Linked DNA regions of Drosophila melanogaster. The protein of the gene in region 1 purifies or fractionates together with the protein of each later gene. This does not show direct contact. Each region holds a gene or a part of one and is shown in the gene's direction. Other genes may lie near its edges.

Region 1 (7,533 bases):
CTGGTTTGGGTGCCGCCTTTCTCAAGGGCAAGTTCTATGCGGTTGGAGGCAGAAATAACAACATTGGATCTTCCTACGACTCGGATTGGGTGGATCGCTATAGTGCAGTCACCGAAACATGGCGTCCGTGCGCTCCCATGTCCGTGCCACGCCATCGAGTGGGCGTGGCCGTGATGGACGAGCTGATGTACGCCGTAGGCGGGTCCGCCGGCATGGAGTACCACAACACGGTGGAATAGTAAGTAGTGTTCATCATTTCAATAGATAATAGTTTAATTAATTTGACAAAGCCTTTCTGGTTGTTTATTCTATCGACATAGTTTAGCAAACCCTATTTATTTAAATCTCTTGCAGCTATGACCCCGATTTGGATCGCTGGACTCTTGTACAGCCGATGCATGCCAAGCGCTTGGGAGTGGGTGTTGTGGTGGTCAACCGTCTGCTTTATGCCATCGGAGGTTTCGATGGAAACGAGCGCTTGGCCAGCGTGGAGTGCTACCATCCGGAGAACAATGAGTGGAGTTTTTTGCCACCACTACAAACGGGTCGCAGTGGAGCGGGTAAGAATGACTGGCGCATCCTGTTATCTAATTTCCAACTAAGTTCCGATTTAATTGCTATCAGGTGTTGCTGCAATTAACCAGTACATCTACGTTGTTGGTGGCTTCGATGGCACCCGTCAACTAGCCACCGTGGAGCGTTATGATACCGAAAACGATACCTGGGACATGGTTGCGCCAATTCAAATCGCACGCAGTGCTCTCTCGCTGACTCCGCTGGACGAAAAACTGTACGCCATTGGTGGATTCGATGGCAACAACTTTCTGTCCATAGTCGAGGTCTACGATCCACGAACAAATACGTGGACAACAGGAACACCACTAAAATCGGGAAGATCGGGTCATGCGTCGGCGGTTATTTATCAGCCGGCGTGTTCCACCACGTTTATGGACTACGAAGATAGTGACGCCCCACACCCGGATGGAAGTAACAACGGGGAAAGGAATGCTCATACACCACAAAACACGTACGGCAGTGGGAGTCCACATTATCCTGGGACGGCGTCCAATATGCAGTTTCATACTTCATACGGAATGAGCGGCTGCAACAATTGTGACTCGGAAATGGATATAAAACCATATATTCCTGCAGAACACCATAGTTTTCAAATTCCCGCCATTAGATCCGAGGAGCTAGTCAATCCAAACTGTCCTTGGTCCAGAATGCAGGAAAGATTTCGAAGAACTCCACCAGCGTCTTTCACAGATGATGAGAGAAATGCTAATGATATGCGGCATAAATTAAAAAAAGCACAAAAAGAATGTTTATTTAGCACAGCAGCGAAAGTTTTTCACCATCACATCGAAGGTCGCCTGCGAAAACTCACGAGCGCAGCCACATGACAATACGAATCCGAGCCTCACGCTTAGCCTCAACCAAAAACATCATTCATTGTACAAAGCCTGATCGTATCCCCTAGAATTCCATGTTGAGAAGCAGCATTCCATTGTAATATTACTTACTAGTGTGTTCGCTAGGTGATAATTAGTCAAACCGTTTTTATGGCATCCATAACATAACTGGCGCTCGTCAGCCCATTTTAAAAAGATTGATTAGGGTTAATAGTTGATTAGTGGGAGGAAAGTTCGTATTTTACGTATTTTGTAGGTATCCAAACTGATAGATTGCGTATTGTACTTTTTTTAACGTAGGATAAGAAGAGGAATTATGCGCATCCAAAATAGGTTTTAAGAAAAGAAAGCAAATAATTTAAGAAAAATAAAACAAACATATTTTACAAAGTTATTTAATCTTTTTGCTATTAATCTTGTGCAAACCTTTGGCCGTGGCAACAAAAAGGCCATATTCAAATATCTTCCTAATAAAACTCACCGTGACAGTGCTATTTATTCCATTAGAAAGATAAACTGTTGTTTTCGTATTTGTTTGTAAACGACTATTTGTGTATTTTGCTTTTAAACAAGTTGTCTTAACAAGTTGCACATTAAAGACTTCTCTGCTTTCGGGGTCTTGGAGGATTGAAGGAAACATGTGTGTTGTCGGTAATGGAAACGATGTTCAGCCCACCCATTTGCAGTCCTTTGATGGCCGACTGAATCAAAACATTTAATTATTTTTAAGTGACATGAGAGACAAAAAGTATTGAACATACCATTCTTCCAGGGCCAAGACCACGAACCTTTACTCGCACTGTCTTCCAGCCCAATTCAATGGCTTTCTGAAATACAATTTAAGTTTTTTGTTTTAAATGATTCTATGCCCATATTATACTATTCAAATGCATATATGGTATACAACTATAATGGAGATTATCTCGATGTTCTATGTAGTTTTTGACCATCCTACTTTGGTAAAACCTGTTTCTTGTGGAAATGACTTACTCCACTAATGGTAACCGCTGTAGCTTGAGCTGCTATGTTGGTTCCCTTGCGAGTGTTTTTGAATCCCTCAATTCCACAGGATCGTATCAGCCGGAGGACTCCTGGAAAGAGGGATACTTTAGATCACAGTTAGAGTAACGTTCCAGATGACCCACCTTTGTGATCCGTGACGGAAATAATTGTGTTGTTGGGTGAAACGCGAATGTTGCAGATGGGCAGCTCGTTGAAGGGTATTCCATTGAATAACGTGTTGGCGGTGCTGGCATCCGGGAAAAACTTAGCCTTGCTAAATGGAAAATTAATTGAATTCAAGACTATTTACAAATGTAAAATTGAATTCCAACCGGTTGATAAGTGTGTCGATGTCCACGGTCTTTTCGCCCACGGTTCCTTCGTCTTTGGCCGGTAAAGATGCCAGCATTTCCTTGCGGTCCTCCGCCTTCCGCCAGCAAGCGCTCGTGTGTATCCTAGAAGTCTGGAGCGGCACAGCGGGCATAGTAATACTCCGAAGAGCACTTAGAAATACACTTTTCAGTGACATTATTAATTTACTTCGCAGAGGGTTCACAAAAACCAAATTACATCACACTGCCAGTCTGGCAACACTGGCAGTGTTGGCTAGCACGCCACAACAAGTGGCCACGCTTCGTGGTGACTGACAAAAAGTCAAGAAGAAGACTATTTTCACGTGTTCTTGTTTTAAGTTGGTTTTGATTCCGGTTATCCTCGTGTAAAATGGCTTTAAAAAGGTTGAAGAGTAAGTAATAGTATATATGTATATACATTAAATGAAGCTCTACATCTATTGTCAAAATCCACAGCCAAGAAATCCAAGAGGCTCACCGGTCGCTTGAAGCACAAGATCGAAAAGAAGGTGCGGGACCACAACAAAAAGGAACGTCGCGCAGCCAAGAAGAATCCAAAGAAGGGTAGCAAGAAACAGAAGCTCATCCAGATCCCAAACATCTGTCCCTTCAAGGATGACATCCTCAAGGAGGTGGAGGAGGCCAAGCAACGTCAGGAGGCCGAACGTTTGGCTCGCCGCGAAGCCTTTAAGGCGGAACGCGAACAGAACAAGTTCAAGACGCTGGAGTCCATGGTCGAGGATGCAGACATGCGGAGCACCGTGCACGGAATAATGCACGAAAACGATGCCCAGGATCAGGACGAAAAGAAGTACAAGAACGCCGTGACCAAAGAGCAGTCATTGAAGCAGTACTTCAAGGAATTCCGCAAGGTGATAGAAAATGCCGACGTTGTCCTGGAGGTGGTTGATGCACGTGACCCCCTGGGAACCCGCTGCAATGAGGTTGAGCGCGCCGTTCGCGGTGCTCCGGGCAACAAGCGACTGGTCCTGGTGCTCAACAAAGCCGACCTGGTGCCGCGAGAGAATCTGAACAACTGGATCAAGTACTTCCGTCGCAGCGGACCTGTCACCGCCTTCAAGGCTTCCACACAGGATCAGGCCAACCGGCTGGGACGCCGCAAACTCCGCGAAATGAAAACCGAGAAGGCTATGCAGGGTTCTGTCTGCATTGGCGCTGAGTTGCTTATGTCCATGCTGGGCAACTACTGCCGCAACAAGGGCATCAAGACCTCGATTCGCGTTGGCGTCGTTGGAATTCCTAATGTAGGCAAGAGCTCCATCATAAACTCGTTGACCCGCGGCCGGTCCTGCATGGTGGGCAGCACGCCAGGAGTGACCAAGTAAGTTCATATTTATCCTTTATAGTACCTCGAACTTATACGATATATATTTATTTTTGCAGATCAATGCAAGAAGTAGAACTGGATTCGAAAATCAAACTGATCGATTGTCCTGGAATCGTATTTACCAGCGGAGGTGAAAACTCGCATGCAGTTCTGAAGAATGCACAGCGTGTGGGCGATGTAAAGGATCCTTTCACCATTGCCGAGAGCGTATTGAAGCGTGCCAGCAAGGAATACTTCTGTACGATGTACGATATTACAAACTACGACACATTTGAGGAATTCTTCGCCAAAAAGGCAGCCAGAATGGGTGAGTACTATGAATGCTTACTGCTGTACATGATAATAATCCATTTCTTTACCTTAATTATAGGCAAATTTCTAAAGAAGGGAGTGCCAGATGTTGTGGCTGCAGCAAGAAGCGTTCTCAACGATTGGAACACGGGCAAAATTAAATACTGCACACAGCCTCCGGAAGTTCAGGAAGGGCAAAGTGTGCATATAAGTGCCTCGATAGTACACTCAGAGGCTCGCGAATTTGATGTGGAGAACTTTGAGTCCATGGAGACGGAAATCTTAGAGCATTGCGCCGTGAAAACGGATGACATTATGGAGATAACGTCTACGGGGCCTTTAGAGATTCGACAGCCGCGTGAGGAAGCCGAACCTGCAGATAAAATAACTGCCAGTTTGGTAATAGACGAGAAGGAAAAGCCCGCAAAGGGTCGCAAACGAAAACTGGATGAGGAAAAGGAGAAGGTTGATCCCAGTCTACTCCTAGAAGGTAAGCAAATCAAAACCATTACCATGGAACATAAAAATGTATTAACGCTGTGTTATTTATAAATTCTAGAAAACCAATCACTGAATAAAGGCATAAAGCAGATGCAAAAGCTAAAAAAGAAACAGAATGTTCGCAACGAGAAGAAAATATCCAAAATTACAGACGTTCTGGATAGCTTTAGCTTAGGTCCATCCTCGTCCAAGGCAGAAAAATACGATTTTGATGAGGACTATGTGATTGAATAAATTCTGCCTTAGTTTTAATAATTAAATCTGTAGATAGTACACTATAATATAGAAAGGTGTAATGTCTCTGAAAAACTAATATAACTTTTTATTACTTTGGAAGGATGGCTGCATCCATTTCAGAATCGCAATTGTGTTCCCTTCTACTGGGTATTTCACTGTATTCCCTCAAAGAAGATGAACATATTGTAAATGTTTAACGTGGATCGCATTTATTCTTAGAACGAAATACATACAAGGCTGGGATTCTAGGATGGCCTACATGCAGTTTGGTTTGGTAAGGGGTTAAAGATCATCTAGCGCACGGATTTCAAATAGAGCACCAGTTCCTCGAATTCGCATTTGCTACTGTTGGAAATGCAAACGAAGTTGGTGCTTCGTCAATGGACATAAAGTGATTACAGATTTAAATAAAATTATTCTATGGTATTCAGCTCATGTAAGTATCGTGTTGTGATATCTTTTTATACACTTGACAAATGACAGATTTTTTAATTTAAACAATGAATGTACGTAATAATGACAACGAAAACAGTCAAAATATCAACATAAAACAAATAATGTTCGAACATGACGTGTGCTTTCTAAAGCCGATTGGATCCTAATGCGCTAGAATCTAAAACCGTATTGAATTTGTTAATGGTGTTTTTTTGTTAGCCTAGGATCTATGCAGATTCTACTGAACAGATTTGTATTTCAGTGATGTTTGGTTTCATTTGGGTGGGGTATAAATTATGGGCTTGGGTTTCTTCTAAAAACGTCGCATAGAAAATGTAGTGGCTTTTTGAATGTATTGCATCGTAACTAGACTTTTCGCCATTCTCAAAACTATTAACCCTGATGTGCCTTCTGTTAAGTATGTATGTTAGATTAAATATTTATACATATCATATAGCTACTGGCAATGGAGCTCTAGCCCCTTGCATCGGTACGTCCTACATGTGTATATATATAGAGTGAATCACAGGATTTCAATTTTTGCTAAGTATTTTTAACAATCAATTACTATGTATTTCGGCTCGACTCGCTACGACTTCTCGTCACCGCTTTCTCTCTCTCTCTCTCTCTCTTTGCTCTCTCTCTCTCTTAATGCGACTCAGATGCGTTAAAATTAATTTCGATGTGTCTACTAGCAGTAATTGAAACTTGTTTCGTAATTATGTATATTAACATTTAAAATGATTTCTTTTGCAGTCCTTTGTTGTTCCAAATTATTGGTTGTTTAGTGTTTAACTGGCGGCTCGATCTCCTGCCCGCCAGACAACGCCATCTCGTCCTCGCCGGACGATAATCCGTCAGTGCGCACACCTGCCTGCACAGCCTGGTCAGCAGCTTCTGCGCCTTCTGCAGCAGTTGGCGCGATCGCCAGCTGCTCACCTGATCGCAGGCGCATCCCATGCCCGGCTCAACCAGGTGCTGGGATGCCGAATGAGGTCCTGCCGAACGGGCCAGCATCAGGTACTGTCACCGCAGATGACTAAAGTGAACCTCCAGCCAGCAGGGGCAGCCCATGATATCCTGTCTTTTGTAGTCGCGTCCCCAGCCCTTGCCAAAGCTGATCTTAATGCTGAAGTAGTCGACGGGTCCCATGGGATGATGTCCGTGATCTCTCATGCTCAGAAGTTCAGCCCTGCGAAAAGGAATAAATATACATCATAAGAGGCTTTGACAACTGGTTAACTTTATTGACGGATCTTACCTATTGGTTTCAAAGGCCTTCAGACAATAGCCCGGCATCACTTTGCACACTCGGTCCAGATTTTCGGACAGGGTGGGTGAATCGACAAAAATGGTTGTATTCCCACGATTGTAGATCCAAACATCGCCGTTCTCCAGACTCAATGTGACCCCTGTGAGGCGGACCGGACTCCGATTAATATATCTTTTCACGTTAGTAAATCCTTTTCTCTTACCCAATCCGACCGTATGACGCGCTTTTGGCACCACCGAGTGGATCTGATTGCCTGCTGGTGTGAGGTCACGTAGGCACATGCTGTCCACCTCACTGGCCACAATCCCATCCGTGTAGATATTGACTGCATTCGTTTTGGCGTGAAAGAACTCCCCGACGCGGTGGGCCATCTCCCAGTAGGCGATTTGGCACCACACCTGACTGTTGATGTTATGATCTGAAATTTAAGGAAAACACAATGCTGTAGATGCAGGTATCTATTTGGATAATAATAATTCCAAAAAACAGTTTAAGAAATCGTAATTATGTATGTACATGCTACTGCAAAGATTAGATATGAATGAATTTACAATGTCTAGTTAAGTTGCTTATTTATTTGTGAGATTGTCAACTCATTAAATTCATAAAGATGCCTGCGATAAAGTTATTCCCATTAATAACTATTATTCAAATCGCAATCTTGTAACCCGCATACAAATT
Region 2 (8,655 bases), on another chromosome or scaffold:
TCCCTTCGCTTCCGACTGGCTAGGTATGTCGGCACTTCACTTTGCCGCCATGAACAATCAGCTGGAGATTTGCGAAATCCTCCTGCAGGGGGGCATTAACATGGATGGCAAGACCAAGGTAGACCGAACGCCGCTCCACCTAGCCTGCTACTACGGTCACGAGCGGATAGTCAGCTTGCTGCTAGCGCTAAAGTGCAGCGTCAACTCCCGCGACATGGTAAGAATATATAAATAAATGACTGTTTAAAATGACTAACCAACATTCCTGTCAGCTTCGCATGACCCCGCTGCACTGGGCGGTCGAGAAAAAACACAAGGGAATTGTGCGCCTGCTACTCAAGTGCCAGGCAGATGTCACCTTGGTCTCCAAATTCGGCAAGACGCCGATCGGACTTGCCGTGTACACGGAACAAGCGGATGTGCTGGCGGAGTTGGAAGCGGCACGACAGGCGCAGGCCAGTAAGAAGTTACACGAGGAATCGGAGGTGAGTGCGCTTGAAGAAATCCACTGAAGGCCATATTTACTACTTAATATGAGGTTTTACTTACGTTTCGCTTGGCTGTTCCTTATTCTTAACAATACAATTGATCGCTGCCTTTTCCCACGCTGCGCTTATCAAACTTCAGCAACAAGCACATAAGACCAAAGTATGTACTTTCGACAACTTGTATTAGGTTGTCACAAATAATAGCAAGAACATTCCCAACTTTGGCCTACATTCCTGATCCTAAAAAATTGTGACAAATACTTTATTCCCAATTGATTCGCAGAAAGAAAAATCATATCATATTTATTCCCCATCGATTTGCAGAAGGAAACCAATGAAGCTGTCAGCTCAATAATGGACGAACCGGAAGTAATTAAAACCGTGGACGACAAAGAAATGTCGGTTGAAGAACGAATGGATGTCCTAGAAAACATGCGAGGCCGTAAGTTACTAGATTCGGAGATATTAAACGAATATTTAACGAAAAACCTATTTTCCCTGCCAGATGCAAACGTCCTGCGGAACACTGCGCTTTACATACTAAAGACGCACGAAATCGCAGACATGGTGCAGGACAACGATGACGAGGACTCGAAAGAAATGCTGAACACTGCGTTGCAGAATGGACGCCAACTTGTCCTCTCTGAAGGAGGACGCATGCTGCTGCACGAAACAAAATCGGGCATCAGCGGCAAGCAATCCACGAACGGAAACGCCCGGCCTTCGGTCGCAGCGCTCCGCACAAATGTTAATAATTCTCATCCCAAGATTCGGATGAATGTCCTGAAGCAGAAGGATCTTCCGTCACCGGCGGGAGTTGCCAAGAACAAGGTATGCATTTCATTGTTTTGTTTCGCTAATTCGTATAATAATTAATATTTGAGGGCAGAATATACGCATTATCTCGTTGACTGATTTTAAGAAACTCTACGGATCGGACAGCACGGCAAAGTCCCTTCAGAAAATACCCGCCTCATTGGCAAGGTACGTTAATTTCACATATTTGGGAGATATATATAAGATCTTGCCTTATCGACAGCTCTGGAATGGTGCGGCATCTTCCCGATGGCACAAAGCTAGTCAACATGCGCCAGTTGCAGGCTCGACAGGTGAATATTAAATAGTTTCTGAGCTCACCTCCTTACTTTACTTGAACCCCGCTTAATTAGTTAAAGCTCCCCTCCCTGCAAAGGCCGCAGGATCTCACTGCGCTAGAAGAATCACACAGCCAGAACGAAGCCGCGGTCCCATCCCCACTGCCTTCAGGCCATCCCGCGTCGGGCAGTTCGCTTAGGGGACAAGTGGGCACCGTCCAGACGATACAGCTGCGACCTTCACTCTCGGCAGGATCCGGCCAAGGCGCAGTAAACAACGGGGCGGCACCTGGCAAGACAATCGTCAATGCGACGAAGCAGTCGCCGAAATCTCCGAACGTGATGCCGCTGCTAACTTCTTCTGAGATCTGTCGCCAGCTTCACGAGTTGCGGCGTCAAAACGAAGACCTGCGGCGGCGGGCCGACTCCTTTCAGCGGGAAAAGGAGGAAATGCTGAGGCGCATTGACCGCCTGGAGCAGATGGTGCTGGTTCAAGAGTCGGAGGCGGACTTGGATTTTGGAGAGGACGTTTAGTTAATGCAAAGATAAGTTTAGCGTAAGTTCGATAAGGTATATTTAGGATATTCAGCCGATAAGTGCATTTGTAAAGCACCCAGTTTAATGACGATTTCATACCATTTCTTATCGAAACCTTAATAACTTGAATGCTATGAGAGCTTTAAACCAATTCGGATGTCGATAGAAATATATCGTTTAAAAAATTCATTTTCAATCCATAATCTGCACAAGATGTAGCATTTATTTAATACATTTACATAGCTATTAAATCGCACCAGTCTTTTATATCTGTTATTTTCCCGTTTGGTCGAGGTCTTATGAGGTTTTTTCCCTTTGGGCATATGTAAGCTATCCTCTAATTTTAATCGGCAGTGTATATATGGTCGATTTAAAAGATGGTCTACTCAAAATAGTAAATATTAAAATAATAAAACGCGAGTTAATCAAATGAAAATCTAAGCGCCAATTACAATGCGGTATATTGTAGCGTTAGTCAATTTTTAAGAAATCAGTGTTGGATAATTTATGGAGTTATCGATAGTGTGGAATAGTCATCGATTTTGCACGTGTTGTTTTTATTCAAAACAAAAAAAATATGGTAAGAGGATTGTCTCTTGTTGCTTAGCTTTCAATACATACTTTGCATTGGCAGCGTAAGAAGCAGGCGGATGAAATACCAGGCTTTCCATCACTGGACAACGATGCCGGCACCAGCGACCGGGGCGCCGACATTCTCAAGTCCAAGTCCAAGAAGAACAAGAGTGGTGGATTCCAGTCGATGGGCCTGGGCTTCGAGCTGATAAAGGGCATCACCAAGCGGGGTTACAAGGTTCCCACCCCCATACAGCGGAAAACGATTCCGCTGATCCTGGAGGGACGCGATGTGGTGGCAATGGCCAAGACGGGCTCTGGCAAGACGGCCTGCTTTCTGATTCCGCTCTTTGAAAAGCTACAGAGGCGCGAGCCCACAAAGGGGGCCCGTGCCCTGATCCTGTCTCCGACGCGCGAACTGGCTGTGCAGACGTATAAGTTCATAAAGGAGCTGGGCCGCTTTATGGAACTGAAGAGCATTCTGGTGCTAGGTGGCGACTCCATGGACTCACAGTTCTCGGCCATACATACCTGTCCGGACGTAATTGTTGCAACGCCAGGTCGTTTTCTTCATTTGTGCGTAGAAATGGACTTGAAGCTAAATTCCATAGGTGAGTTGATAGTTGCGGACCATAAAAGCAGGAATTAATTTATTTGCTCTCTAGAGTACGTGGTGTTTGATGAAGCCGATCGACTCTTCGAGATGGGCTTCGGCGAGCAACTGAACGAAACGTTGCACAGATTGCCATCGTCCCGGCAGACGGTCATGTTTTCAGCCACGCTGCCAAAACTGCTAGTAGAGTTCGCCCGTGCCGGACTGAACGACCCAGTGCTCATTCGTTTAGACGTCGAATCCAAGCTCCCGGATGCGCTGGCTCTAAAGTTTCTGTACTGTCGACCAGACGACCGCTACACAGCACTTGTGGTTCTTCTTAAGTACGTTATTCCGGTGCAGTCGCAAACCGTGGTGTTCGCCGGTACTCAGCACCATGTCGAACTCATTTCGTACATACTTACTGAGGCTGGAATCTCCAACGCCTCAGTCTACTCCAGCCTGGATCCAGCTGCACGCAAAATAAACACCGCCAAATTTGTGAACAAAAAGGTGTCCGTGCTAATAGTCACGGACGTGGCCGCGCGTGGTATTGACATTCCCAGTCTAGACTTTGTGGTGAACCTGCACTTCCCGGGTAAACCGAAACTGTTTGTCCACCGGGTAGGTCGTTGCGCTCGCGCTGGTCGCACAGGAACCGCATACTCTATTGTATCCACAGACGACACAGCACATCTACTGGATCTGCACTTGTTCTTGAACAGACCCTTTAATATACACGACAGCTCGGCATTGGGAACCATTCCGCAAGATTTGCTCGAGGAAGAGCACCTCACAGTGACCGATATAAAGAAAAGTCACCATATTGTAAGTTTCAAATGGAGTGTACTGCATTTTATGGTTTCTAATGATACGTAATTGTACATGTATTTCTGCAGGCCGGAGTATTGCGCACCAGCGAAAACGCCTACAAAAAATACTTGAGTTCCCGACCAGTAGCCTCCACGGATGCCAACGCGCGTGTAAAGAAAATTAAATTCTTTGCTCTCAAGCCATTGGAGGATTTCTTCACAGCTGCCCCTGTGCTCGCCCAGGCGGCTGAAGCTAGTGGACAATCAACAGAGTCGCAGGCAAAGGTGAGCGCCGCAGAGCGCAAGTTGCAGGAGGAAAAGCACGATATACTGGTGAAGATGCGTAGTTTCCGTCCTGGTGGTGTGAGTTTCTCAACAGTTTTACGATAAATGCTCGCTCACGTATTAGTAATTGTGCCCTTTTCAGACCGTTTTTGAACTCAACACCACTCAAAAGTCCACGCAGTTTATCGTTATGAAGGAAAAACGAATGCAGCATGCGGAAGTAATCAACAAGTTTAGGCAGCAGCGCGCAGAAGAGGACATAGACGAGGAAAAGAAAACGATCGAGGCGCTCAACCCAAGCTCAGGCAGAATGCCCACCGCCGACGAGGAAGCTATTAGTAGTACTTTCAATAAAGTCGTTGCGCCCAAGAGGCTCCAGAACATGGACGCCCTTTACAAGGACAAGCCAAAGAAGAAAAAGCGGAAGATAAACAGCAAGGACGAGGATCACTATGTGCCGTACCAGTCGGCAGACAAGCACACAGAGGATGGTCTGGCCATTAACAACTTTGAGCGGCAGGCGCAGAACGCCGAGTTTTCGGTGTCGGACCGCGACTTATCCCAGGAAGTGAAGCACAAGCCCGGCCTTAAGAAGTGGGACCGAATTAAGAAAAAAATGGTCTCTGTACAAGATCCGCGAGCCAACAAAATTCGGACCGAGTCCGGTGCGTGGATTCCTGCCTCCTTTAAAACAGGTCGTTATGCTGAGTGGAAGGAGAAGTCTAAGATCGAGGACCAGCTGCAGCGCGAAAATGCAGGTAGTGATGACGAAAACGCCAAGCCGTTGAGCCATGCCCAGCGCTACCCAGTCAGTCGTCATGCGCGGCACAACTTAAAGCTAGAACTTAAGAAGCGACTGACCGGAAACGACAAGGAGATGCGCCGCCCCGAGCAAATTGTCAAGTCTCGCATGCGACTGGAGTTCATTAAAAAGCGCAACGAAGAGAACGCAGAGAGGAAAAGCGAAAACCGCAAGCGCAGCATGCGGAAAACGCAGCGCCCCAAAGCTCAATCAACTGGGGGCTCGAAAAGAAGGAAGTAGGAGTTTTTACGCAGGTTAGTACAGTTACACCATATCTTTCATTTAACTCCTCCCTACCAAAACGGACAATGTTCTAGTAGCACACCATTCAATTGTAAAGTCAAAAGTGAGACATGCTTTTTAGTTTTGCGCCCTTGATTTCGGAACTAAGTCCTCCTTTCACACGTGACCCAAATAGAACACGGCGAAGTATGTGCGTGCCGAGAGATGTGCCACAGGGTGTGTTTACCCTGCGCAGGTCAAGTGAGGGTAGGCTCCGGTTCGGATTCGGGCGCGCCTGTCTGATGACACGCACATCCTGTGTGCCTTCTTGCCTGCGCCCACGAACAGAAAAAAGAAACAGCTGCCACCACTTATTCATCTCGTTCTGTGTTTATAGATCTGCTTTCAACAGCTCCGTGCCTGCATCAATTACAATATCGCACTGCTGCCGCTTCCCGCAGATAGTCACGTAATTGACTGGTTCCTTGCTACTTTTAATATAAATAAATGAACATAATCGAAATTGCGTAGGACAGTATTGCCGCGACTGATTGTATCATTTTTTTTTTTTATCAATCCACAGAAGCATTGGGACCGACGTTCAGCGCATGGGTAATGTTCTGACAAATCGCCTTCCTCCAATGAAACACTCCCCATATTTGTTTACTGGATGTAGAGTGTTTTTAAAATAATACACAATAAACGATGAACTACACTTTTTAGACTTGGGTGTGGCGACAGCCACCAAAAATGCAGCAGGAATGACATGAAATCAACCGAACCAACGAATCCTCCCATTTCGTTGGGTTCGTGTGTTCCAAAAATACTTTCAGGGCGCATATGGTTTTATTTCGATTCCCCCTGGACCAGTTCGCACTCTCTTAGTCGCTGTCGATTAACCCAGTGGTAGAAGCCACATGCCAGATGCCACATGAGCATGGGGCAGGATCACCCATACGCTTAACAACTTCTGCTCACTAATTCTGCAGTTGAGGGGTGCTCAGAATAGGCCCAAATTTTATTTCCGAACATGTGTCTCCAGATTTTTCTCAGTACTTGTAAAGGGTCATTTCCAAGAGGTGCTTATGGAATATGTTTCTCTAAAATCCGCATGGAAACCCCGGAAAGGATTCGACGAATGCCGTTTTCTCGGATCATCATAGTTTAGTGTCACAGAATTTGTACATTAATAGAAATATCCGATGTCCACAGAGACAAAACCATATGGGTGTAACAAAAATAGTTGTCTTGCAGTGCACTTATTGATTGAGATAAATAGATAAATCCCAACAGAAATGGTGGACGCAAGTGAAATGAGATGGAAAACCAAACGCGAGCTGTTCGTCCACATAGCAGCCAAGCATTTTGAGCGGACGATCATATCCAAGAGCCAATTCAAGTCAATCAAAAAAATGTGGCTTGCGCCAGGGGAAAGGGACCGATCGCAGTGGCCTGCAGCACAATTTACATTGCAACGACCAATTTAGAGATTGTTGAACTCACGCAGAACCAGGCTGCGGCTGTCCGGTCGGAAAATTTAATCTACGCCTTGAGATCTCAACATGTGGGCATGTGTGCTATTAAATTACTATGTCTGAAGGCAGCTTATCATGCATTTTCTAATTTGGGACGCTCAGACAATTGCGCAATTTAGCGAGGAATGCTTCTAAGCGTCACTTAAAAACAAATTATTTTATTCATGCCCTCACCAAATGCAACGAAACCAGAGCAGAATTGGGTGATAGGTTTCACACCGGCAATATGGAATGCAAGCGCTACAAATGAGATATTTTCGGCAAGAAGACTCACTCGTCACCGATTATACTAGGATGCAGATACGTTCGAAAACCTCTTTGTTTCGGTTAGTCATTCAAAAGTCTCGAATCGGTTAGTATACCCGCTTACGCTACGAGTAACGGGAATACCGATTCACTCAACGAGTAAATGGTATATTTATTGAGCCGAAAAGGTCGTTGCACAGTGTGACCGCACAGCCCAGCAGAAAAACGCGCTAGCGATTACTCGAGTCTCCGTCGAGTTCCCACAAACTCGCCGAGCAACGCGTCATTCGAAGAAAAAAGTCGATTGCTTTGGACGTGTAGACGTCCGGTCGTCGCGTAATTTGTTTTTGTAGTAGAATACAAAGGAAGCAGAAGCGGATTACAGATAATTTTGAAGTGCTGCAGCTGTGCATAATAAGGTGGTAAACACAGTCCAAAGGAGTACGCGCCGCTTCATTCGTGCACCCTTGTGTATCGACGATGTATACACACTATGGGCGCGTCTCTTTTTGTTCCTTCGCGCGTGTGTGTGTGTGTGTCTGACATCGCCCTGCCTGCGTGTGTGTCTGTGTCTCGCCCCTCGGTCGCAGCGAGCAGAGCAGCCCTCTCCTCTTGTCCCATAAAGTCAATGTACAACTTGTTTATATTTAAGATTTGAGATCGACCCGATACTGGCAAGGAAGCACGCAGAATGCTGGTGGAATATTGAAACAAGTGTCGTCGAATTGTGATTTCTCGTCGAGTGAATTTTCGCACGCACACAACGCCAGCATTGCTCGCAAACACACGCACACAAGCGAAACGAGATTTTGCAAGTCGCGTACGTGCTGGTAGTGGTGCCCGTTGTAGTTGTAACCGTGCCTGTGTTGGTGTGGTGTTAGTGCTTGTGCAACTTAAAAATTCAATTGTTTATTGCTGGGCAAAACTGGTACCGTGTACCGCGTACCTGGAAAACAACATTTAAAGCGAACGCCAGGCGAATCGAGAGTTCCGAGCAAGTGGGCAACAATAAGGTGTCGCTGCGGCGCCTGCTCATTTCCACGGTGATAATAATCGGCATAGGGTTCCGACGCGAAAGCCACAAGTGAAAGTGGAATGCTCTGCCTATTCGCGTTAGTTGGCATAGTCTTCAATACCCAGCGAATTACATCTCTCCGACTGGATATGAAGATATTGTGAGTATTTCCCTCTGGAATCAATGAAATGAAATGGTGTGCCTAGTCTGTGATGATAAGGCAGCTATCACCACCACGTTCATATCCGGATGCGAGCCCGCCCTTGTTGATTGTTTTTAGTTTCTGGTGCTCCCGGGCACAGTATCGGCGAAGTGCGGGTAAAAGAATGCTCGGGCAGGGGGAACACGGAAACCTGACCTTTCATTTAAATGTCTTGGTTTATCTTTAGCTTCCTGCTGCGGAATGCATTTAGCCTTTCGAACAGGAGTGTTTTGATCTCTGCTTCTTTTTGGT
Region 3 (7,014 bases), 5.3 Mb from region 1:
ATAACAAGGCGATTAGCCGAATGTTATAGATTAGTCGAAAACATTTACAATGCGCAAATGCACAAAGGCGCATATCAGTTGTCATATTTTATGGAAGGGTACTACAAATACTCCCTAATTCCCCACTTAACCATATTTGTATATATTATAAGTCATTACGTTAAACCTTTTTAAAAAAGGTTATTTTCGTTGTGTTAATCATCAATGTTATCTTTTTTTTTTTGCTTAATAAAGTGTCAATACACGATAAACCAAACAAAAAAGAGACGAGTTTATTCATAATATTCTCTTTATTAGTATAAAACGTATCAAAAATGTTTATCAAGTCTACAATTATTATCAGTTATTGGGTGCTGCCGACCGTCGCCTCAAATTGCTGGGGTTTGCATTACAAAATCGCTTGATCCGCTGAACCGCGAGCAATTAGCGATAGTTTAATAGTAATAAATACATAGAATACATACAGAAAGAAAAACGATAAACAAGGAAACACGCATAGTTTGTGAACGTAATATTTGTTGTTTCTCGAAAGCGGGAGGTGTTAGTTATAAAAGGCGTGCTGTTGCTTTTGCTGCTTTTGTTTTCTCCTTTACATATACATATAAATATGATTTATACGTTTTTACGTTTCACATATAAAAATATAGTAGTTGCTCTGGATCAGCAATTAGCCCGCTATAGTTCGGTTCACATTGCCAATTGGCGGTTTTTTGTTTTCTTTTGTTTAGTGGGAGGCACCCCATGAAGCAATGAACGAAACATAAAAGTATTGGCGGTAACTAACTAAAGCGTAATACACGAGTCTGCCAGAGCGCTTTCATCACAAGTCCAACTGCAAGCGCAGACCACCACCACCGCCGCCGGAATCGCGAAAATTCGCGGCTCCATGCAGTGATTCCTATATCTGCCGCTCATCCTTAGCCGTCAGCTTGTCGATGAGCTCCTGCAGCGGGGCCAGTTCGCGCCGCTCAATCAGATTGAACTCCTGCACGAAGAAGATGAAGTGCTTGAAGGACGTGTTGAGATGGGCCTCCTCGCCAAGCGTCACCACCTCTGTGAAGTGCTGGTGGTAGATGTGCGCATACACGCGGAACAGACGCTTCAGTATGGTCTTGGCGGAGGAGTGAAAGTTCTTTGGAAACGGCACGCCGATCTTGGAGGGAAACAGGGTCTCGTCGTCCAGCTGATCCTGCACCCAAGTCATCAGATAGTCAATATACTTGGGCGCGCTGCACTTGATGGGCTTCTTTACGGTCAAACCGTCGGCCCAGTGGTACTCGTATTTCGGACCAGCCGACATGATGCCACAGGTCTCCTCGGTGCAGAACTCGGTGATGGTGCCGTACAGCATGTTGATCTGGTTGAAAAAGTCCACGGCTGCGAAGGAGTGGCAATAAGAATTGGTTATCTTTCGCTAGTTACACTATACTAGACTCACTGTTAACGGCCACCCACTCGTTGAGATCCTCGCCATCTGGAAGGGCCACTGCATTGCGCAGGTTTCCCGATCCCAGCGTGGCTGCCGCATGCTTCATGAGATCATATTGGTGTGTGCCTTCCGGGATGTTCTTCTTGGGCTTGAAGGTCTTGCTGGAACGGGAACCGCTGTGGAAAGAGAAAGGCAATAAGTCGCGGCCCCAAACAGCCCCACTCAGTAAAACATAATACAGTAAAGATTCTATAGATTGAAACGTAAGCGACTTCGTTCAATTTACACTCCCTAAAAGAAATATTTCCTTTTTTTTTCTTTTTTTAAATTCACTGAGGAAGAATGCAAGATATCTTTGAAAAGCTATTTTTTAAACACCGCAGACAAAATTAGGGAAGTTCCACTGTACAAGAGGTTGGGGATATCACCCCAAAAAGGGCAAACAAAGCCGGAAAGTCAGATGTGGGGCGGGGTGATCCAAGCTTTCTTTGTGCTCGAAAGGATTGCAGTTGCACTACGTTTTGCCCCCCTGAGAACTTACAACAAGAAGTCCATGGCATGCAATTGCTGTGCTTCGCCTTTCACTGAGCCTCCAATGGAATTTTCCTATGCGTAGACTTTTCCGGCGAGTGCCACACCGCTTTTTCGGCTCTTCTGTGTCGTGTCAGCAGCTTTATTCCGCCGATTTTTACACAATTAGCGCCGAATAATAATTAAAGAAAAGTGACTGGAATTCGCAGCAGGTTTCTTTCTCTGGTCAATTGGGAAATGACAATGATGGTATCTGTATCTGGCCTCCAGTTGGTCGGTCTGTTAACTAGTGCCGTAGCCCAACAGCTGATGCGAGCGGTTCCAGGAAGTGTGCCGAGCCAACTAGTTAATTCTGTTGTGTTTATAAACGCAAAAAATTTGTTATAAATAAAAATAAAATTGCTTTCACACACAGAGACAGTTGATGAAAGTGCGAGAGGGACAACGCGACAGGTTATCAGGCTATCAACGTGGCCAGCCTGTTAAAATAATTCAGTACGGTACTGCGGTATTTTATCTGGTATGTCCCTAACATTTCGCAATCGGCTTGCTATGGTCACACTTGAAGTAAGCACGTGGGAAAACAACTGTAGCAGCATCGTGGGTGTATAAAAATATATATTTCTTAATTAAATCGGCATATATTCGGCATAGACATGGTAAATATTTCAGTGCAATAATCATATATTTGAATTTTCTGCGGGTTGCCCGTGAAATGAAAATGTTTTCCCTGCGAAAACTAACCTACACACGCGGAGCACCCAAAACCACATGTGTCTGCCACCGCATCAGACTGATAATTTTTCATTTCCCCGCCTCCAGTCGAACCTGTATGTGCTGTACGAGCATGCGGCGGGCTTCTCGCTCTTCTCCGTCAAGGAGTTCGAAGAGGTGTCCATGTTCCTGCCCCAGGTGGAGTCCTCGGTGACGGACCTCGCCAAGTTCAACTCAATTGTTAAGCTGGCTGGATTTGCACCTTTCAAGACGGCCATTGCCGCACTGGAAAACATCAATGCCATATCCGAGGGCATAGTGCCGCAGGATCTGCTCTCCTTCTTGGATGACTTCTTTGCCAAGCTGAAGAAGAAGAAGTGCACCCTGGGTATTGCGGATGCCAAGCTGGGAGCTGCAATCACCGAGGCCATTGGCGTCCAGTGCAGTCACTTTGGAGTGGTTCCTGAGATTCTGCGCGGCGTGCGATTCCACTTCGCTAAGCTGGTCAAGGGTAAGCTACCTGCTTTGCAAGGAAAATCCTCTTTGTCTAACTAAAGCCTCCTCCATCCGATGCAGGATTCACCGACAAGTCCGCTGGCGTTGCTCAGCTGGGTCTGGGCCACAGCTACTCGCGTGCCAAGGTCAAGTTCAATGTTCATCGTTCCGACAACATGATCATCCAGTCGATTGCTTTGCTGGATCAGTTGGATAAGGACGTAAATACCTTCTCTATGCGGATACGCGAGTGGTACTCGTATCACTTCCCAGAACTGGTCAAAATCGTTCCCGACAATTACATGTTCGCCAAGGCGGCCAAGTTCATCAAGGATCGCAAGAACCTCACGCAAGACCAGCTGGAGGATCTTGAGAAGATCGTCATGGACTCCGCCAAGGCTCAGGCTATCATTGATGCCGCCAAGATGTCCATGGGCATGGACATCTCCATTGTTGATCTGATGAACATTGAGCTGTTCGCAGAGCGCGTTGTCAAGCTTTCCGAGTACCGAAAGAAACTGTCTACCTACTTGCACAACAAGATGAACTTGGTGGCACCCAATCTGCAGTCTTTGATTGGCGACCAGGTCGGTGCCCGCCTGATATCGCATGCCGGCAGCTTGACTAATCTGGCCAAGTACCCAGCATCTACAGTACAAATCCTGGGTGCCGAGAAGGCGCTCTTCCGTGCTCTAAAGACCCGCTCCAATACGCCCAAGTATGGTCTTATCTATCACTCCTCGTTCATTGGTCGAGCTGGCCTGAAGAACAAGGGTCGCATCTCTCGATTCCTGGCCAACAAGTGCTCCATCGCGTCGCGTATCGATTGCTTCCTGGAACAGCCGACTAGCGTGTTTGGCGAAACTCTTAAGCAACAGGTCGAAGATCGCCTCAAGTTCTACGAGTCCGGCGATGTGCCGCGCAAGAACATTGAGGTAATGAAGGAGGCCATCGAGGCAGCTGGTCAAGAGGCGGCAATCACTGTACAGTCCGAGAAAAAGAAGAAAAAGAAGAAGCGAGCGGCTGAAGACGAGGGCGAGACGAATGGCGCCAGTAATGGAAACGGAGCAGCCGCCGAGGCGGAAAATGGCAATGGCAACGATGATGGAGAGCCAAAGAAGAAGAAGAAAAAGAAGAACAAAAACAAGGAAGCGGTGGAGGCGTAAATGTCTCTGTTACATTCAACTTAGTTTAAGTCCACACTATTATCTTTTACTTACATGCTTCTTTTGTATTTCCTTTGACCCCCTGATGGATCGCATTTCAAATAATAATAAACATATACTTTGGAGGGTATTCCCACCGGAATTTTATGAGTTTGCGTTTTAAATCAAGAGACTATCATAATTATTGGTTTCAATTGTTTTATATTTCATATTTGCTTTACATTCAATTTATATACAGACACATCGTAACGTTAACTATTGCTAAAATTGTTTGATTTTATTACGTGTAGTATTTTGTTTAACAATTTCAATGTTGGATCGCTCAGCCGTCCGTCCGCGCGTTGTGCTAACGAATCCGTTTAGTACAACCATTATTCAACTACTCTGTGTATTGCATTTGATGACGACTTTCAAATTCCGAGTGGACGATCAGGACGGATGTGGAATTAATGGGTTTGATCCGGAAAATTGCATCGGGGGTAAATTGTTTAACAACGAATTTAGAAACAAATTGCACGTGTCGCAAACTTTGTACAGCAAGGGGAAAGGAAAACGTAAATAATATATAGAACTGACAAGTTTAGCGATCGTGGAAATGTGAATGTGAGAGTGGACATTTTGGGTAGTAGGTTGGTTGGGTTAAATTAGGCTAAAAAATATCATTGAAACAAGTCGAATGCCGACGAGCTATTATTGTTATTATTGCTGTGATTCTGCTGCTGCTGCTGGAAAGCTCCAAAGTTGGCAAATGCTGATTGGTTTTGTGGAATGCTTTGCTGCGGTGCCGGAGCCCCAAAAATGTTCGGACTGGTCATTGGCGACAGTCCAGGGAATCCGCCACCCGTCTGCACATTCAGTGGCGCCTTTGCCGGACTGTTGGTCTTCAGGGCATTCATCGAAGGGGCCGGGGCACTGGGCTTGCCCGACTTGCTCATCAGCAGATTGTCCAGGTCAATGTTCATCTTGCCGCCCTTCAGGTCGCCCGACCAGGTGGCGCCCACAGCGGTAGACTGGACACTGGCAGCGGCGGGGACTGCGCCTCCGTTGGTATTATTGTTATTATTGGTCACCGACATGGGCTGGAGCAGATTATTGCCCGTGACGGCGGGAATGGGAGGCATCATATTGTCTGGAAAAAAACAAATGCAATAATAATGTTATTCGGGGTTTCAGTTTTCGTTTTTATTTTGGTTTCACAAAAAGCTGTTTTAAATATGTGGCTTCGATAGAATTGCGAATGCGGCTACTTGGTGATCGGCTAATGAGGTGGTCACTACTCGGAAGCGTTTGCGCAGCAAATCAAGTGCAATTACAGAAGGAAAGAATAGGTTCGTATCTGTTATGTGGCTATTGCCGTTTTGGATTGGTTTACCTAATGAGTCCGTGGCTGCGGAGGCCGCACAATGCCCGGAATATTGAGAAATGCTTTTCAATTCATCATTATTAAGTACATATGTATGTATATATTTGAGAAATAATATTGGATCCAATGTGTGTGTGGTTTGCAATACAAATATGCAGTAGGAGAAAAACAAATAAACAAAAGAAAGTAGTATAAATGAAGTAAATCCATATATGTATACCTGGAATACAATGGCTTCGAGGGCGATAGATATTTAAAAAATAATTCCTAGAACTGTTGTCTTATTTCTAGCAAATACCTAACTCTCGAGTCTATTATTAGTTTATACAATTATAAGAAAATGTTTAAGGACACAGCGTTAACGTTTGTATGAGAATTGATGTAAAGTATGAAGTAATCTTGTATTTAATCATATATATCATATATTAATTCGGAAATATTTCAGTAAAAAATTGTTCGTTTTTCCGTAACAAGAAATATGCTTAGTGTATTTTAAATACAGTTTTAATATTTTAAATCTCTTAAAACTCTATAGGCTGCTTTCAAAACTTTTTGATGGCCAAGTTAGGCAGCCTGTTCCATGGCGGCTGTATCAAAGAGTTTGTAGCAGGTGTCCAAAATGCTTTGGGCCAGTTCACGACACTCCTCCGAAGTCTCTCCGCCCACCAATGGCGATCTTATGAAGTCATTCAGCCAGCGCTGCAGTTCGTTCAATGACTCCGCAAAGTGCTGGGCCAGCACATGAGCTGGTGTGGTTACCAAGGCGATTCCTATTAGCTGCAATGTGGCCGCTCGGACGCGGGCCTCGGCATTGAAACGCACAAAGGCGCATAGGTCAAAGATCTCGCGGGTCATCGCTGGCAACAGTGGACAGTTCTGGGAGCACATAACCAACACGGACATGGTGTTTAGCAGGTTAACAAGCAACTGGGTGTCGATGTCGTGAGAAATATTTTCGTATTTTACGTAAAGCATCTGACGGGTGCGCTGTCCCCTCACCAAACTGAAGAAAAATGTACCGGCAACGGGGTGAAATGGGTTGGCCTTCTCCATTTGATCTCCAGCTTTGGGCTTGCTGAAATATCTCTTCGTCTTGGCCCGCAGCCGGTCGCGGATGATCCTTTGCGCAGCGGCCAGACGAGCGGCCGGACTCTCCTCCTCCTGTTGAAATTCGAACTTTCGGGGATGCTTGGCTGCCGGTGGTATAACATCCACAATTTCCATCTCATTCTGCATGTTTTCATCGCCAGAAAGTTCTTTCGCCGTTGCTGCCAGTACCTGAAGGATCAGAATACGGACACTGGCCGAATAGAAGG

What was found. Proteins that work in one complex are often made in the same cells at the same time.
Region 2: the proteins of Ns1 (region 1) and CG32344 purify together in Drosophila melanogaster (affinity purification with mass spectrometry, with the first as the bait; one large-scale study listed by BioGRID). This does not show direct contact.
Region 3: the proteins of Ns1 (region 1) and Nop56 purify together in Drosophila melanogaster (affinity purification with mass spectrometry, with the first as the bait; one large-scale study listed by BioGRID). This does not show direct contact.

What each region holds. Positions count from the first base shown.
Region 1 is NT_033777.3:17,068,208-17,075,740, reverse strand, and holds Ns1 (nucleostemin 1), read left to right. Parts: upstream 1-3,065; 5' UTR 3,066-3,137; coding exon 3,138-3,159; intron 3,160-3,223; coding exon 3,224-4,109; intron 4,110-4,171; coding exon 4,172-4,422; intron 4,423-4,485; coding exon 4,486-4,896; intron 4,897-4,965; coding exon 4,966-5,141; 3' UTR 5,142-5,218; downstream 5,219-7,533. Other genes in the region: Keap1, read left to right, coding at 1-238, 355-560, 625-1,403; mRpS11 (mitochondrial ribosomal protein S11), read right to left, coding at 2,006-2,113, 2,174-2,239, 2,403-2,503, 2,558-2,688, 2,747-2,943; Dad (daughters against dpp), read right to left, coding at 6,606-6,771, 6,841-6,991, 7,055-7,270. UniProt on the Drosophila melanogaster protein: May play a role in regulating cellular proliferation.
Region 2 is NT_037436.4:318,697-327,351, reverse strand, and holds CG32344 (uncharacterized protein), read left to right. Parts: upstream 1-2,631; 5' UTR 2,632-2,696; coding exon 2,697-2,699; intron 2,700-2,753; coding exon 2,754-3,303; intron 3,304-3,357; coding exon 3,358-4,112; intron 4,113-4,183; coding exon 4,184-4,459; intron 4,460-4,523; coding exon 4,524-5,423; 3' UTR 5,424-5,437; intron 5,438-5,988; 3' UTR 5,989-6,119; downstream 6,120-8,655. Other genes in the region: Atac3 (Ada2a-containing complex component 3), read left to right, coding at 1-217, 273-485, 628-648, 813-930, 994-1,319, 1,378-1,472, 1,528-1,597, 1,658-2,116.
Region 3 is NT_033777.3:22,416,559-22,423,572, reverse strand, and holds Nop56 (Nop56), read left to right. Parts: upstream 1-2,504; 5' UTR 2,505-2,616; coding exon 2,617-2,619; intron 2,620-2,782; coding exon 2,783-3,185; intron 3,186-3,250; coding exon 3,251-4,335; 3' UTR 4,336-4,478; downstream 4,479-7,014. Other genes in the region: mats (mob as tumor suppressor), read right to left, coding at 899-1,377, 1,439-1,605, 1,971-1,984; lqfR (liquid facets-Related), read right to left, coding at 6,263-7,014.